Linked DNA regions of Cricetulus griseus. The protein of the gene in region 2 purifies or fractionates together with the protein of the main gene of each other region. This does not show direct contact. Links are inferred from orthologs where the notes say so. Each region holds a gene or a part of one and is shown on either strand. Other genes may lie near its edges. The genes, in order: Cdkn2aipnl, Xrn2, Cdkn2aip and importin subunit alpha-5.

Region 1 (4,365 bases), on a different chromosome or scaffold from region 2:
AAAACATGATACTTGTTTTTCTGAATTCTAGCTTATTTCACACAACATAGTGGTCTCCATTTCTATCCATGAACATCCAATTGCATTTTTCTTCATGCACAACAGAATTTGGTTGTGTATGTGTATAGACTGCATTTCTATATCCATTCCTCTAGTGATGTCCACAGTATGGCAATAAACACAGATGTATAAAATCTCTGTGCTGTGTTTCCTCAGAGTCCTTCAGGAGCAGTACAGTCGGAAAATATTTGTAGCTTTTTGAGGCTCCTCCTTACTGATCCCCAGTTTATCTAGCATAAAGGACCTGGCTTCACTCCCTGTCATCAAGAGAAGTGTCCTAGACAAACCAAGGAGATCGAGCCTGTGTGTTCCTCCACCGACAACGTACAATTTGTCATGCTGAGTTGTGATCTAGTTATGAGAAGGTTTATACCAAGTGTGAGGAAATAATGAAGGGCTTAAGACTGTAGAGCAGGAACTAAGAAGGCTCAAAAACAACACGATCCAGAGTCCAAGTGGAACCGTCATGTCTACTCATTACCTTTTTCATTAATTCACTTCTGGTTGTAAACTGTGGCAGGTCTTCCACTTCAATCCCATCAGCCATTTCCATCACCTTGTCCAGAAGATCTTTATTGTAACTGCACAACAAAAAGCAGTAAGGTAAAAACCTGGGAAGACTCACTGTCACTATGGACTAAAAAGAAAGTGTAGTTTCTTAGACTGTAAATGCAACTTCTAGACTACAGAACTGTTTTTCATTGGTCACGTCATACCATGCCATCTGAGGTTTAAGCAATGCTCTTTTCAGCCTTCTCGGTAACCGGGACTACAGGGACACACCACTATCTGAAGTTTTGCAAGTTACTGACTTGATACTGCAGGGAAAACTACATTGTTCAGCACATGGTTAACAAGTGGCTCTCCCCACTTGTGGATATAGCACTAGGCTTGAAGAATGCCAATATAGCAGATGTTTGAAGAATTATAAAATCAGGGACTGGAGAGATGGCTCAGCAGCTAGGAGCACTTAAGGCTCTTTGCAGAGGACCTGGGTTCAGTTCCCACATGGCTAGAGTTTCAGTTCTCAGAGATCTGAGGCCCTCTTCCAGTGTCTGAGGATACTGGGTACATATTTGTTACCTATTAATACACATAAAATAAAAATAAATAAAAAGTCTCTCTCTCTCTCTCATTACAAAAACAGGAGCAGTTAAGAGCACTTGCTGCTGGGCATTGGTGGCACACGCCTGTAATCCCAGCACTCGGGAGGCAGAGGTAGGTGGATCTCTGTGAGTTCGAGGCCAGCCTGGTCTCCAGAGAGAGTGCCAGGATAGAAAACAACAACAACAACAACAAAAAAAAACAAAAAAATAAAACAAAAAAAACAAAGAGCACTTGCTGCTCTTCCAGGATCTAGTTTCAATTCACAGCACCTACATGGTGACTCACAACCATCTGCAATTCCAGTTCCAGGGAATCCAATGCCCTCTTCCGGCCTCCACCACCATCAGGCACTCACAGTGCAGACAGATGTGTAGACAAAACACCCATACATACAAAATTTAAAATAGTTGTAAATAAATAAAATTACAAAAACAGGAGCAGCATACATCAGGTAGTACATATTCATGGATGAGATCTGAGGGCCAAAAATTTGATTATTTTTAAAACACACAGAATGTTGGTCTAATGTTGGTTCTCAATTATTTGTATGACCTTGGCTCCTGTAAACTCCAATTTTAGAGGGTGAAGGCAGAAGGGAGAGTGAAGCATATATGTGTGATGGGTGTGTCTGGCACAGCTTCCCCACATCTTATTCTAACAAATATGTCAAGATCTGAAACCAAGTACCTTCAGGGTTGGAGATATAGCTCAGTGGTAGAGTACTTATTTTTGATATGTGCAAGTCTGGGGTTTCATGCCTAACACAAAACCCAAAAAGAAAACCAAGGAGTTTGTCCTGGAGGGGCCATGTGACCAGTTAGGCTACGAAGATCAGATCTGAGTCAGGTAATCCTATTTTAACACAACTTCAAGAAACTGTAGAAGCCAATAAGAGCTTGGAGATGCATGCTCAGTATATGAAATTCCAGGACTACCTGGCTACATAAAAAACCGGAGGCCAGCCTTAGTTATAAAGGATGATTGCCTTAAAAAATTTTTAAAAAAAACAAAACAAAAAACCATAAGGGAGTGTAAAAACCTGGTGCATTTTCCCGGTGGAGTAAAAGAAGTGCCTTGTCAGAAATCTCAAGGCCAGGCTCTTGTCGTCCTGGTGTGATCGCAAAAGTTCAGGGGGGCTTTGGAGCAGCAAGAAAAAAGCATCGTTACTTTCTTAAGGAGGAAAATTAAGAGGAAAAGATTACATCCTGCCTTAGCGGTGAAATCCACCAACCAACGGTGCGATGTATCACATCCTCTCTTGCTAGGTGTCTTCAACTAGAGGAGGTGGGGGAAGTTTCAGTTTCCGTCTGCACTTTTGTGTGTGACAGGAACTAATGGGCTTCGAGCACTCTGCAAAGGCAATCTTCTGGGCTCATAAACAGTACTAAAAAATGCCCATGGCAATACAGCCGCCTTCCAGCCTACCTGCACTGCACTCTACATCATTTAACTGCTGTAGTCATCACAGCCATCCATTTACCAGAGGAAAGAGAGGCTCACAGAAGAGACACATCTTCCCCGAGGAAATGCTAAGAGGGGATCAGCCAAGGCAGGAGGAGGTTGGGCCGGACTAAGGGTGGGCAGATGGGGTCAGCCGGCCGGCGGGGTCCGCACCTGCAACCCAGGAAGAGGTGGTTGGCCCAGACCATCGATAGGGACAGCAGCTGGTCCAGGCGGCCGCCGCCGTCGGGTGGGTCTCGGTAGTCCGGCAAGTGGCGCAGGATGAACTCCATGCGCGCTTTCCATTGCTTCTCGCTCTCCGAATAGGAGCGGAACTGCTCGGCGAAGTCGGCCGCCTGCCGCACCCCGGAAACTAGCTCCTCTACTGAGACGCTGGCCTCGCCACCCACCATGACTCCCGCCGCCGCCGTCGCTGCCGCCACCGAGGGTCGCACGAGCCCGCCGCCTTCCCGACACGCCCCGCGCCGCCGACACGCCGCTAGAGCGGCCACGACCCGGCGCGACTGCTCTGGAGGACTGACTTGGAGCGCCCTCGAGGGGCACGGAGGCCTAGTGTTCCCAGGGCTGCAAGGGCCCATGCAGGGTACACTGTGTAGACAGATGCTGGGGAAACTGAGGCCCACAAGCACCGAGTCGGCAGCTGGGTGCACGCTGGGGCTCTGTGGTACCCCTTTTGCCCGGGGGTGTTCCCAAGGCACCGCTCTATCCTCAGCCACAGCTGAGGCTTGCCCTAAGTTCTGTGGATCTCCCCGGAGAGTGATGTCCCCTGTTTTATGGATCCCCTGTGGTCTCAGGTTGTGCCCTAACTTCCTGCAGAGTTATCCATCCAATGAGTACCCTCCAGGCACTTTGGTGCCCAGGATGCCCCGCTCTAAAGAACTTTGTGAGGGAAGTAGATGTCAGTGAAAGAATTGCCCAAGTAAATGGAACGTTGACGAATCATAAAAGAAGTCAGATTGCCACAAACCTGAGGAAGCAAGGTATGGAGGTGGTGGTGGGGAATTAAGTGAAGAGCACCTGAGTTCAGTCTTTGGAACTCACATAGTGGAAGGAGAAAACCAACTCCTGAAAATCGTCCTTTGACCACTGTATGCTAGTAGTGTTGTATGTGTATACACACACACACACACACACAGAGAGAGAGAGAGAGAGAGAGAGAGAGAGAGAGGGAGGGGGGGAGGGAGGGAGGGAGGAGGGGGAGGGAGGGAGGGAGGGAGGGAGGGAGGGAGAACAGATAAATAAATTTGAAAATATGGACAGTTGGGTACAGAAGAAAGAGCCTAGAGCCCGGGATCTTGAGCTCCAGTGAAGGTTGTAAGTGGTGAATGGTCCCTTCATTATCCGCCAGGGTCTTACACCACATAGCCTAGGGTGGCTTACAACTGTTTTCCTCCCTTCTGCAGCTTCTATTGTGGTGTTAGGACCCCAGCAGGTAGAAATGGCATCCAGTACACAAATGGAAGAGCGCTGTAAGGACAAGCACCATGCTGTGTGACATCCCATCATGTCAGGAAGTCATGGTATTCACACTCTGGCAGGGAGCATCCGAACCAAACATGAGAACCCAAAGACAGAAGCAACTTCTCCCCAGGGTTCAGGGATCTAATGATAACAGCAACCAGAGTTGAGTTCCCAAAGTGCAGGTGGCATGCCCTGACAAGCTTATTGCAGTGGCAGATTCCCAGGTAAACCCCTGGATACTCAGAGTCAAGGTTCTAGGTAATTCTGATTCTAACT
Region 2 (3,801 bases):
TCTTGGCCAAGTTAATGCACAGGTCTCAAAGGGCAGCCATAATTTCACCTCTCCAGGATTTGGGGCTGATATTGTTCCTCATTAACAATGGTCCATTCCACAGGTTTGCACACCCATGTCCTAAAACAGAAGCCAGCAGTACTGGTGCCTACCCTAAGTGCATTCTGCCAAACGCAATGGAAAACTTTAATTAGATCTGCAATTGGTGCTTTCTTCCAGGATTGGGGTTTTGTTGTTTTTCAGGACAGTTTCCTTATGTAGCCCAGGCTGTCCTGGAACTCACAGATCCATCCATCTGCTTCTGCTGGAATTAAAAGTATGTACCACCACACCTGATCAGGAGAGGGGATTAACAAAGTATACCCAAGGATGAGGCTATGAAACCTCCAAAGGTATAAAAACTCTTTCTTATTAATGGTCAATGTTTCCCAAGCTCTCATAGAACACTTTCATTCCACATAAGCTCCCATAGACTCTCACATTCCTACTCAAGGCTTCAAGTACCTCCTCCCATCAACCAAGGTTCTAAAATTGTCTTCAAGACTTTCCCCATGTCAGGCATCCTGTAATCCCCTCATACTCATCTCCAAAATTACTTCAATTTGTATCTGGTCTCTTACTCCAATCTCCTATAACCCATAGTATTTACTATCTCAGTGAATGGACTCAACAAACACTGAACTGACTAGGATAGAAATTTGGACTTCTCTATATAATCATATAATCAACTTCCAAGTGCCTTGTTACTTCAGTTCCTTCCTCTATGTTTCAACTTACTTAGAAGTTACCACCCTCCACAAAGCCTACATTCTTCCATCGTTCTGCCCTAGCTGATGCCATCCAACTCAGACTCCTAGAATACACACTTCCTAGGCCTTACCCTGTTTTCTAGAGTATAAAACATGGCAGTCATGTTTTGGCTAGTTTTAGATTTATATCCTAAGTAAGATTAGGAAGAGAAAAACTGCAATACAACTCAAATAATGTACAATACACAGTTCCATACAGCAATCATCACAGCCTTTATAAAACAGCCAAGTACCAAGCTTAGGATTATATAAGCAACACATTACAGTGGTATTACAACACGGACAAGTTAAAAAGTACATCACAGCCTATGAGAGTAGCAATTTTAGCTACTGCAATGTATTTACCTCATCATCTTTTCTCTTTTTAAAAATGCTATCCTCAACTTCACCAACTGCTAACATGATCATCTGTACTCTTTGCAGATTGACATAACCACTTTCTGTAAGGTAACCCTGTAAGTGATAAAATACATGTAAAATAATGTTCATAGAAAACCAAATACACCTGCTTTTAAATTACTCAAAAATAAACTTACCCCAGTTTTGTGTACCACGTTTTTGTATATGTTAACCAAACGATCAATTGCACCTTCCCTGCCACCAGGAGACAAACATTATTCATTAGGATCAGTGGGCTCTGTAAAGTCAAGAAGGCTGAGACAGTCATTGGAACATCCCACAGATACACATACCTAATCTCTAATGACGGCAAGTGAGGAAGGAAATCATTCCCCACAAAGAAGCACATGAACACCCAGTCATCAATGCTCCTCTCCACATCAAATGGGAATGGTAAGCTGGCCATGGTGAGTTCTCTTTCCAGATACTACAACCAAAAAAGAATGCTGACATCAAAGCAATGAAAAGAACATGTTTGAGGAGTGCAGTTCCAATAGCCAATGAAACATACCTCTCGAAGGACATTCAGCCGAATGAAGATAAACTCCCCTTCTGCACAAGGAAGACTATCTGCAAGTTCATCATGCTGCAAGAAAGACAGTGCAGATTATGCCCAACCTAAACCCTGCAATTTTTTCTAGCCACACAAATTGTAGGGATTTTCTAATGTAAGACCCCATTTAATATTTAAGTACTAAATTTAAAAAGTTCACCAAATCATTTTAAAATAATCACATCTAGACCAGAGATAAGCAATTATTTGGTATGAAGGGCCAGGAATGCATATTTTCCCTTTGGGGAGACACATACAGATGAATATTCTTTCACGTTCTAGAATACTTTTAAAACCCTTAAAAATGTAAAAGCAGCTGGAGATCAGTGATTTAGGAGTATTTGATGTTCTTTCAGTGGACTCACAGTTTACAGCACCCATATCAGGATGTCCACAATAACCTGTAACTCCAGCTCCAGAGTACCACACCCACACATACAACTTAAAATAAAACCTTTTAAATAAAATAAAATAAAATAAAACATTCTTAACTCATAGGTCCACATGAAAGACATGTTTGCCTTTCATCACCTACGTCCAATCAATATTAGTATTTTGTTGTATATTCCTCTGGTCCCTTCTTGGATACACATATACTTCATTTATTCTATCTTCTGTCTAAAATCATATAGTTCATCTGTTTTTTTTTTTTTCACTTTTTCTCCAACCAAGTGAGCTCAAATAAATGAAAAAAAAAAAAAAAAACAAAAACAAAACATAACAGTGCCATGGTATTTAATATATTTGATTTGTAGTTCCTTTAAATAAATAGTAATCATTTGAAATACCTTCCATAAACAATTCACATACACTGGGCATTGTCATCTACAAGAACTTACCTTCACAGAAACAAAAATTATATTACAGATTTATTTCACATTACTTTAAAAGCTGCATTTCTATGAAATACTTTTATGAGGCAGTCTGAATAGACTTGATGATAAACTGTACATTTTAAAAAGATTAAACAGTATACTTTATGGCAGTGTACATATTTTCAAATGCAGTACTATCCATCTTAAAGTTCTTACCTTTCCCTTCTTTTCTCTTGGCAAACCTTCACAATCCTTAACCTCATGTCCAAACTGATTACAAAGAGCACATGGTTTGGGTTTGTTTGGTTTGAATTCTTCTCTGATTATGGTGAAGTTAGGTTCATGTGTAGCAAGACCAAGCATAATGAGATCAGCTATCAATCAATAAGAAAAAAAACAAGTGAATGGTACTTTGGAAGAATCCTTTACTTAACCATAATCAAAACACTACTAAACAATGACACAAGAAAAAGGCCCACTAAACAAAAAGCATGGGCAGCAAAACTCAGAAAGTCATCCCAGTAGTAGTTCTGCCTACAAAGTCATTCAGAGACATTGACCGACAATAAACCACAACTCGGGATTACATGTGGGAAACTGCCCATTGTAAAGTCAGCAACGTGCTACCTAAAGTTTGAAAAAACAAAACAAAACAAAAAGATCAAAATTCATGTGATCACTGACCACAGTGTAACAGCAAATTAATAGTGGTTCCTTTTAAACTTAGGCAAGACATCTAGGAACTGTCAACCAAACCTGAAATACCCACCACACAACAACCCACCAACATACTCTGGTTTAATCCAAGAACAGTAAATCCTCAAGAAGAAACATACCATCAGCTCCACATAAACAATGATGAGTATTTGGGTCATGGTTAGGCTGGGCTAAAAAAGGAGGGAAACACATATTTATAGAAACATATCATACACACAGAAGTAGCACAACTTGTCAAGTATTTTCTAGTTAATGGCCTTTTTGTTTGTTTTCAGGCAGTGCTTGGGACAGAACCCAACGTACCCCATGTGCAGGTAAATCTACCATTAAACTACATCTCCAGCCTGGGTTATGTTTGTTAGAACACACAATCATATACTTTTGAATTACCTCTTTGTCTTCTAATATAATCCATGATTTTGTGTTCTCCTTCACCAGGTGCACTAGCATCAGATAATATAACCTATTAAAAAAGGTTTTATATGTTTAGTTCACCTCCCCAATTTCT
Region 3 (2,915 bases), on a different chromosome or scaffold from region 2:
AAATATAACCATGTGAGACTGGCTACACACATCTGTAGCCCCAGCACTGAGGAAGCAGAGAATGGAATACTTTGCAAGTTCAAGACCAGCAAGGACATAACACACTTACCTTCTCAAAAACCAAGAAAATATATTATCAAGTTTTCACCTGTTTTTGTTTGGAGGTACTACAACTTCAACTTAGGGCCTTCTTTTCATCTAAGCAAGCATTCTATATCACCTACCTTTCTGGGAGTGGGGGTTGGGAGCTTCTAGGGAGGTTTCTGTGTAACCGTGGCTGTCCTAGTACTCACTCTGTAGACCAGGCAGGCCTCTGCCTCCTGAGTGTTGGGATTAAAGGTGTGTGCCACTACAATCAGCTATATCACTGGATTTATATCTCAGGATCTTTTTACTTTTTATTATCAGACAGAGCTGCAGACTGTTCTGTAAAGCTCCAAGGATTTTAACTTCAGCTCTACCTGACTAAGCCTCAAGTCGTTGGAATTATAGGCCTATGAGACCAGACTCCATGTCAAAAGCATACTGTAACTTAAAAAATTTTCAATATAACAGCGTTTATAAATTTGCTTAAAACGGCCATTTTAGGAAATTACCAAATCATCTAATCAGATGTATTTCAGAAATGTATTTATTCTAATGTTTGGCTCACTTTTCTGGTAAGCATTGGTTCACAAAATACAGCACAGAAGAAACTTGAAGGTGTTTTACAATTTACTTATGTTATTGCTCCCCACAATATATAAAGATAGCCCATTTACAGACTATAAGATTGTGCCCTGATATCCAATGAGCCACCCCCAAAAAACAATTTAAAAAAGGTTATCTGGCAAAATACAAACATCCCTGATTATTTCAGTTCAAGCACAGGAAACTAAGTATCTTTGTTACTTCTAAACTACAAAATAATTTTTACACACTTAAATTGTGCTTATTTTCAACCTTCCAATTCCAATACAGCTAGTGACTATAAGATGCCTTTCTGTACATTATCACCTAGAAAGCCAAAGGCCACTAGGGTAATCAAATACCTTAGACCAGACTTTAAAAATCAATCATACTAGATTAACAGAATCACCTAAGACACAAGCAAGAGTCTACTTCATTACAACAGATGCAATTCACATGAACATAACCATTAAAGAACTGACCATGGCTCTCTAGTCTTCTCCACATTCTTCTGAAATCTGCAAATACAAAAACCACCTGGTTCTAGATATAAACTTTGACTTCCCTACCGATAAAAACATGTGCATTACTAGGAAAACTACTTGACTGTAGTTTACTATGAATAGTAGTGAGAAGCCAAATTGCAAGACTGGGTTATGACTTCAGGGTAGGGAGGAGGAAAAAAAAACCACAACTTCTTGAAAAGGTAAAATAGCTTAAAGCATTTAATATCTAAACAAATCAATGTTAATATTAGTAGTCACAAAATATGCTTAATATAGAAACCCACATTTATGTTTTAAGAAAGTGTAAATTGCATTTCATCTCAAAACATAAATTAACCTGCTTAACAATCAGCAGCAGTCAAAATCATGGTGAATTTTAAACAACTTCAGAGTAAAATAACAGGAAGTACTTTATAATGTTTTGTATCTTAAAACAAAAAGTTTACAACTTATCATGAAAATAGCTTGAGATAACTACTCTTATTCTTTAACAGATGTTCAACATTACAAGCAACATTCTTAAAACCTTGTTTTACACATTCAAATACTGTGGTCCCCTTTTCTTTGATGGGATTTAATCAAGTTAGAGTACAACAAAAAAGCATGGTAGACAACTTAATACATTTCCACCAAATTGGTAGTAGTACAAAAAATTTAAGATTCTACAGAACTACACATCGTACCTAATATGTCATTAAAAATAGAAGACAGTATTTTCTTCAGCAAATAAAACAGCATACTGGTATGCTGTCAATGTATACCTTTTAATATGTACTGTCATTCATAAATTATTTACAACTTCTACTTTAGTGAAGAGAACTAGAATTTAATTTTCTGCAAAACTGGAAAAAAAGCAATACAAAATCTGTGAAAGCCAGTGTTTTATATTATATAAAAGCCAGTTTTTCTCTTCAAACACCAGGTACTAGATGCAGCAGTAACTTGGGAGACATTACAGTAATTCTTGAGGATGTTTCAATGCTGGAGGTAAGTTCAGAGGTCTCGACTCTTCATCAAGGAGCACTAGATCTTCTACCTCACTGCCCCTATACTTCCTTTTGCATATCTTCACCACCACCTTCTTCTTGAGAAATAGCTTCAGTGCTTCTCTTGATGCAACTGCCTTAGCATTTTCTTTGCTTTTTCCACAGCCGGTGCCCAAATACACTGACTTACACCTCAATTCACAAACAATACTTTCTTGAGAGCTCTTATTTTGAGGCAGATCTGCCAGTTCTTTCAACGGGACAAAAAACACATCCAGTGTTGCTTTCAGAGCTTCAATAGCTGCATTTAGCAGCTCTCCATGATTCACAGTGGGGCTAAAGCCACCAACAGCTACTAACTTCCATGCCACTGTTTTATACAGTCTATTGAAGAAAGGTTGCTTCTGTTTTACATCTTCGTTGGTTAACTTCCGACAAGAGAATTTAACAGAACTCTCACTGGACTGCGAGGTACTTTTAGAAGGCAACTGTGAAGTACTACTCTGAGAGCTACTCTTAGAAGCTAGCTGAGACATGCCTGCTAAGGAAGTGCTTTTGGAAGCTACGGAACCACTGCTCTGGGAGCTGCTTTTGGAAGCTAATAGTGATGCAGCTACCTGAGACGTGCTTTTGGAAGTCAGTAGTGAAGCATTGGTTGAACTGCCCTTGGGAGTTAGTAAAGAGGTGCCTGATGTGGATGATGTGTTCTTAGGAACTGAGGATGACACACTCGCCTCTGAACTAGTTTTGGATG
Region 4 (3,801 bases), on a different chromosome or scaffold from region 2:
CTGTGAGTTTGATGCTAACCTGGTCTACACAGTGAGTTTCAAAGGTCAGCCAGTGCTACACACTGAAACCCTGTCTCAAAAACCCCAAGGTGTCTTATTAATGGCATACTGTTCCTCAGTCCCACTTATATATCATCACTAGTCTTCCTCATATACCTTCTTCAAGCTTGAAACTAGCCCAGGAACCTAACACAGGTTAGTACAATTTCCTCTATCCAAAAGAAATAGGGCTGGAGAGATGGCTCAGAGGTAAAGAGCACTGACTGCTCTTCTAGAGGTCCTGGGTTCAATTCCCAGCAACCATGTGTTGGCTCACAACCATCTATAATGAGATCTGGTGCCCTCTTCTGGCCTGCAGGCATACATGCAGGCAGAACATTGTATAGATAATAAATAAAATCAAAATAGAGACAGAGAGGGAGAGGGGGAGGGGGAGAGACAGAGGGAGAGACAGAGGGAGGGAGGGAGGGAGGGAGGAGGGAGGAGAGAGAGAGAGAGAGAGAGAGAGAGAGAAGAGAGAGAGAGAGAGAGAGAGAGAGAGAGAGAGAGAGAGAGAGAGAAATTCTCCAAAGGGGCATAGTTAAAGAAAACATCCTCCTGGGCCTGATGGCATACATGTTTAATCCTGGCACTCAAGAGGTAAAGATCTCTTTGAGTTCTAAGGACAGTCTAGTCTAAACAGTATGTTTCAGGCCAGCTGGGGTTACAACAAAATGAGGTCCTGTCTCAAACAACAAAAAAGGCCTTCAATAGTCCATGAAAAATTTACACAACCCAACACATGGGTTCACTGGAAAATATAATTTAATACGAAGTAAAGCCAACTTATTTAGCATATAGTCCACCAAAACATTCTGAAAACACAAAGGTTTTTTTTTTTTGATCTTTGGTAAAATCAGCAAACTTAAAAGGTAAAAAGAAAATACATCGTCTAAGTATCAAAAACTAACATTAGAAGAAAATAATCTTAGACTGATATATTGACACTGGTCGTTGGTAGTTTTAGAAGAAATAAGGAAGGCTGTATTTTAAAGGCTGACCAAAATAACTTCACCTATTACTGAAAGGATAGAAAAGGGGTTGGAGAAGACAGCTCAGGTGTTTACTGCTCTTTCAGAGGATCCAGGTTCAATACCCAGCACTTACAGAAGGCTCACAACTGCCTATAACTCCAATTCTAGGAGATCCAATACCCTCCTCCTCTGGTCTCCAAGGGCACCGCATGCACATAATACACACAGTTAAACAGGCACATACACATAAATAAAAATAAATAAAATCTTCTGAAAATGTATCTCACACACAGGGATAAAAAGGCATTACCTGGATCTGTGCCCTATTTCCAGCTGTAATATTAGATATTGTCCAACATGCTTCCTTTTTGATAGATTCCTTTGGGCTACTCAGCAAATGCAATAAACTCTGAAGAGCTGAGCAGTTCAAAATTACCTGAAAGAAAAAAAAAAATTTAAGTTTTACTTACGGTATAGTTTCAAATATCATTTGGTTTTGGATTTTTGTTGGTTTTTCTGTTGAGGAAAGGTCTTATACAGCACAGGCTGGACTCAGTGCATCCTGGAAGATGAGCTTGAAATCCTGGATCATCTTCTGTCCACCTCCCAAGAGGTAGTAATAAGTGCATTTTTCACTCAACTTATTTTTGTCTCAAAAACAGAGAAACCCTGTCTCAAAAACAAAACAAACAAAAAAACCTAAAACAAACTTATTTTACTACAAATGTAGAAGAAAAACTCTGGAATTCTAAAAAAAAAAAAAAAATAGCTTTATTCATGGGGAAGATGTATGTGTTTGGACTTGAGCATACCATAGTACACATGAAATCAGAGAAAAATTTGCTGGAGTTGGTTCTCTCCTTCCACCATGTGTCCTAGGAATCAAACTTAGGCTATCAGGCTTGGTGACAAGTGCTTTTACCATTTGGGACAACGTTTCAGTCCTTTAAAAACTATTTAGTACTAGTCTGAAATACATTAAAGACTATGAATCTGGTTTCACTGTGTACATTCACAAGCACTGGGATGTGTGGTGGTACATAATCAAGCACTTGGGAGTCAAACATGAGAAGATCTTGAATATAAGCACAGTTTGATAGATTCAGTCATACTCTGCTCTTGAGAAAACAAACAGAACAAAACCCATAATACACAACTACAATGACATTAGTATTAAAAAATATACTATGGTCTGGAGAGATGGTGGCTCAGTGGTTAAGAGCGCTTGATGCTCTTGCAGAGGACCCAGGTTCAATTCCAGCACCCACATAGTGGTTCACAACCATCCTCAACTCCAGTTCTAGGGGATCTGATGCCTTCCTCTGGTCGTCATAGGCACCCAGCTTACATGTTGTACACATATACACATGCACACAAAAGACTCACACATAAAATAAAATGAATAAATCTTTAAAAGCCAACTACAAATAGGGGCCAAGTATGGTGGCACACGACTTTAATCCCAGCACTTGGAAGGCAGAGGCAGGCGGATCTCTGTGAGTTGGAGGCCAGCTTGGTCTACAGAGTGAGTTCCAGGATAGCCACAGCTGTCACACAGGAAACCTTGTCTCAAAAAAAATGAAACACACACACACACACACACACACACACACACACACACACACACACACACACACACACACACACACACACACACAACCACACACGGGGGGGGGGGGGGGGGGGGCGCGGCCCCCGCACGGGACTGGAAACACAGCTCAGCAGTTAAGAGCACTGGCTCATCTTCCAGAGGACCCCACCAGGCAGCTCACAACTGTTCATTACTCCAATTTTAGGCAGATCTCCAAACCCTCACACAGATATATATGCAGGCAAAACACCAATGCACATGAAATAAAAATAAATTTAAGAAAATACATGAAATATATGTTAAAAAACTAGAATAAGCTGGACGTTGGTGGCGCACGCCTTTAATCCCAGCACTCAGGAGGCAGAAGCAGGCAGATCTCTGTGAGTTCGAGACCACCCTGGTCTATAGGAGCTAGTTCCAGGACAGCCTCCAAAGCCACAGAGAAATCCTGTCTGGAAAAACCAAAAAAAAAAAAAAACCACACACACAAAAAACACTAGAGTAAATGTTTATCTTAATTATGTAAATTAAAAAGAAAAAATTAAAAATTCTTCACAATAAAATAAATGAAAACTAAAACAAAGCCACGTGTTACCTACTAAACTACAAGCTAAAAGTGTTGTTTATTTAAGGAGGAGGACGAGAAGGAGGGGGAGGACGAGGAGGACGAGGAGGAGGCGGCAGAGATTTAGTTCCCCCAGTTCTGGAGGCTGGAAAATCCAGTTACAGCACCAATACCTGGTGTAAGAGACCTTCTTACTGCATCTCCAATGTGGCAAAAGGCTGAAGAGCCAGTGGGGACAAATATTCTGCCCTTATATGACAGAAAATCAAAAAAGTAAATAGAACTTTCTAAAAACAATTTTGTCACAAATGTTAAGAGTTTATTTTATAAACTTTCATTATTAAAAAAAATTGCAAATAATATAAACATCATACACCAAAAGCAACCAGATTTGAAGTCTATACATCTTAGTGAACCTCTATACAGTTAGGGCAGCCATTCTGAAGCTGTGGAGCTTCATGGCGGATTTTATACTTTCACTACTGAATAAATTATTTGCTCATCCACCACCAGAAATCCATGACAAAATTAGAACTTGAAAAACAACTAGCTTTGAACCTTCTTTCACAACTCCTGTCTGAAAAACTAGATAACCCAGAAAAGTAATTTTTAAATGTGTATCATTAACCAAA

Evidence for each region.
Region 1: the proteins of Xrn2 (region 2) and Cdkn2aipnl purify together in Homo sapiens (co-immunoprecipitation; 6 studies listed by BioGRID and IntAct, with this or other methods). This does not show direct contact. The link is inferred for Cricetulus griseus from reciprocal best matches to the Homo sapiens genes XRN2 and CDKN2AIPNL.
Region 3: the proteins of Xrn2 (region 2) and Cdkn2aip purify together in Homo sapiens (affinity purification with mass spectrometry; 4 studies listed by BioGRID and IntAct, with this or other methods). This does not show direct contact. The link is inferred for Cricetulus griseus from reciprocal best matches to the Homo sapiens genes XRN2 and CDKN2AIP.
Region 4: the proteins of Xrn2 (region 2) and importin subunit alpha-5 purify together in Homo sapiens (affinity purification with mass spectrometry; 4 studies listed by BioGRID and IntAct, with this or other methods). This does not show direct contact. The link is inferred for Cricetulus griseus from reciprocal best matches to the Homo sapiens genes XRN2 and KPNA1.

The regions. Positions count from the first base shown.
Region 1 is NC_048600.1:66,236,254-66,240,618, reverse strand, and holds the start of Cdkn2aipnl (CDKN2AIP N-terminal-like protein), read right to left. Parts: upstream 3,093-4,365; 5' UTR 3,021-3,092; coding exon 2,782-3,020; intron 642-2,781; coding exon 542-641; intron 1-541.
Region 2 is NC_048599.1:31,982,474-31,986,274, forward strand, and holds part of Xrn2 (5'-3' exoribonuclease 2), read right to left. Parts: intron 3,757-3,801; coding exon 3,684-3,756; intron 3,464-3,683; coding exon 3,413-3,463; intron 2,951-3,412; coding exon 2,793-2,950; intron 1,795-2,792; coding exon 1,720-1,794; intron 1,636-1,719; coding exon 1,502-1,635; intron 1,404-1,501; coding exon 1,346-1,403; intron 1,263-1,345; coding exon 1,155-1,262; intron 1-1,154. UniProt on the Homo sapiens protein: Possesses 5'->3' exoribonuclease activity. May promote the termination of transcription by RNA polymerase II.
Region 3 is NW_023276807.1:39,008,301-39,011,215, reverse strand, and holds the end of Cdkn2aip (CDKN2A-interacting protein), read right to left. Parts: coding exon 2,128-2,915; 3' UTR 614-2,127; downstream 1-613. UniProt on the Homo sapiens protein: Regulates DNA damage response in a dose-dependent manner through a number of signaling pathways involved in cell proliferation, apoptosis and senescence.
Region 4 is NC_048597.1:53,645,233-53,649,033, forward strand, and holds part of importin subunit alpha-5, read right to left. Parts: intron 1,450-3,801; coding exon 1,324-1,449; intron 1-1,323. UniProt on the Homo sapiens protein: Functions in nuclear protein import as an adapter protein for nuclear receptor KPNB1. Binds specifically and directly to substrates containing either a simple or bipartite NLS motif.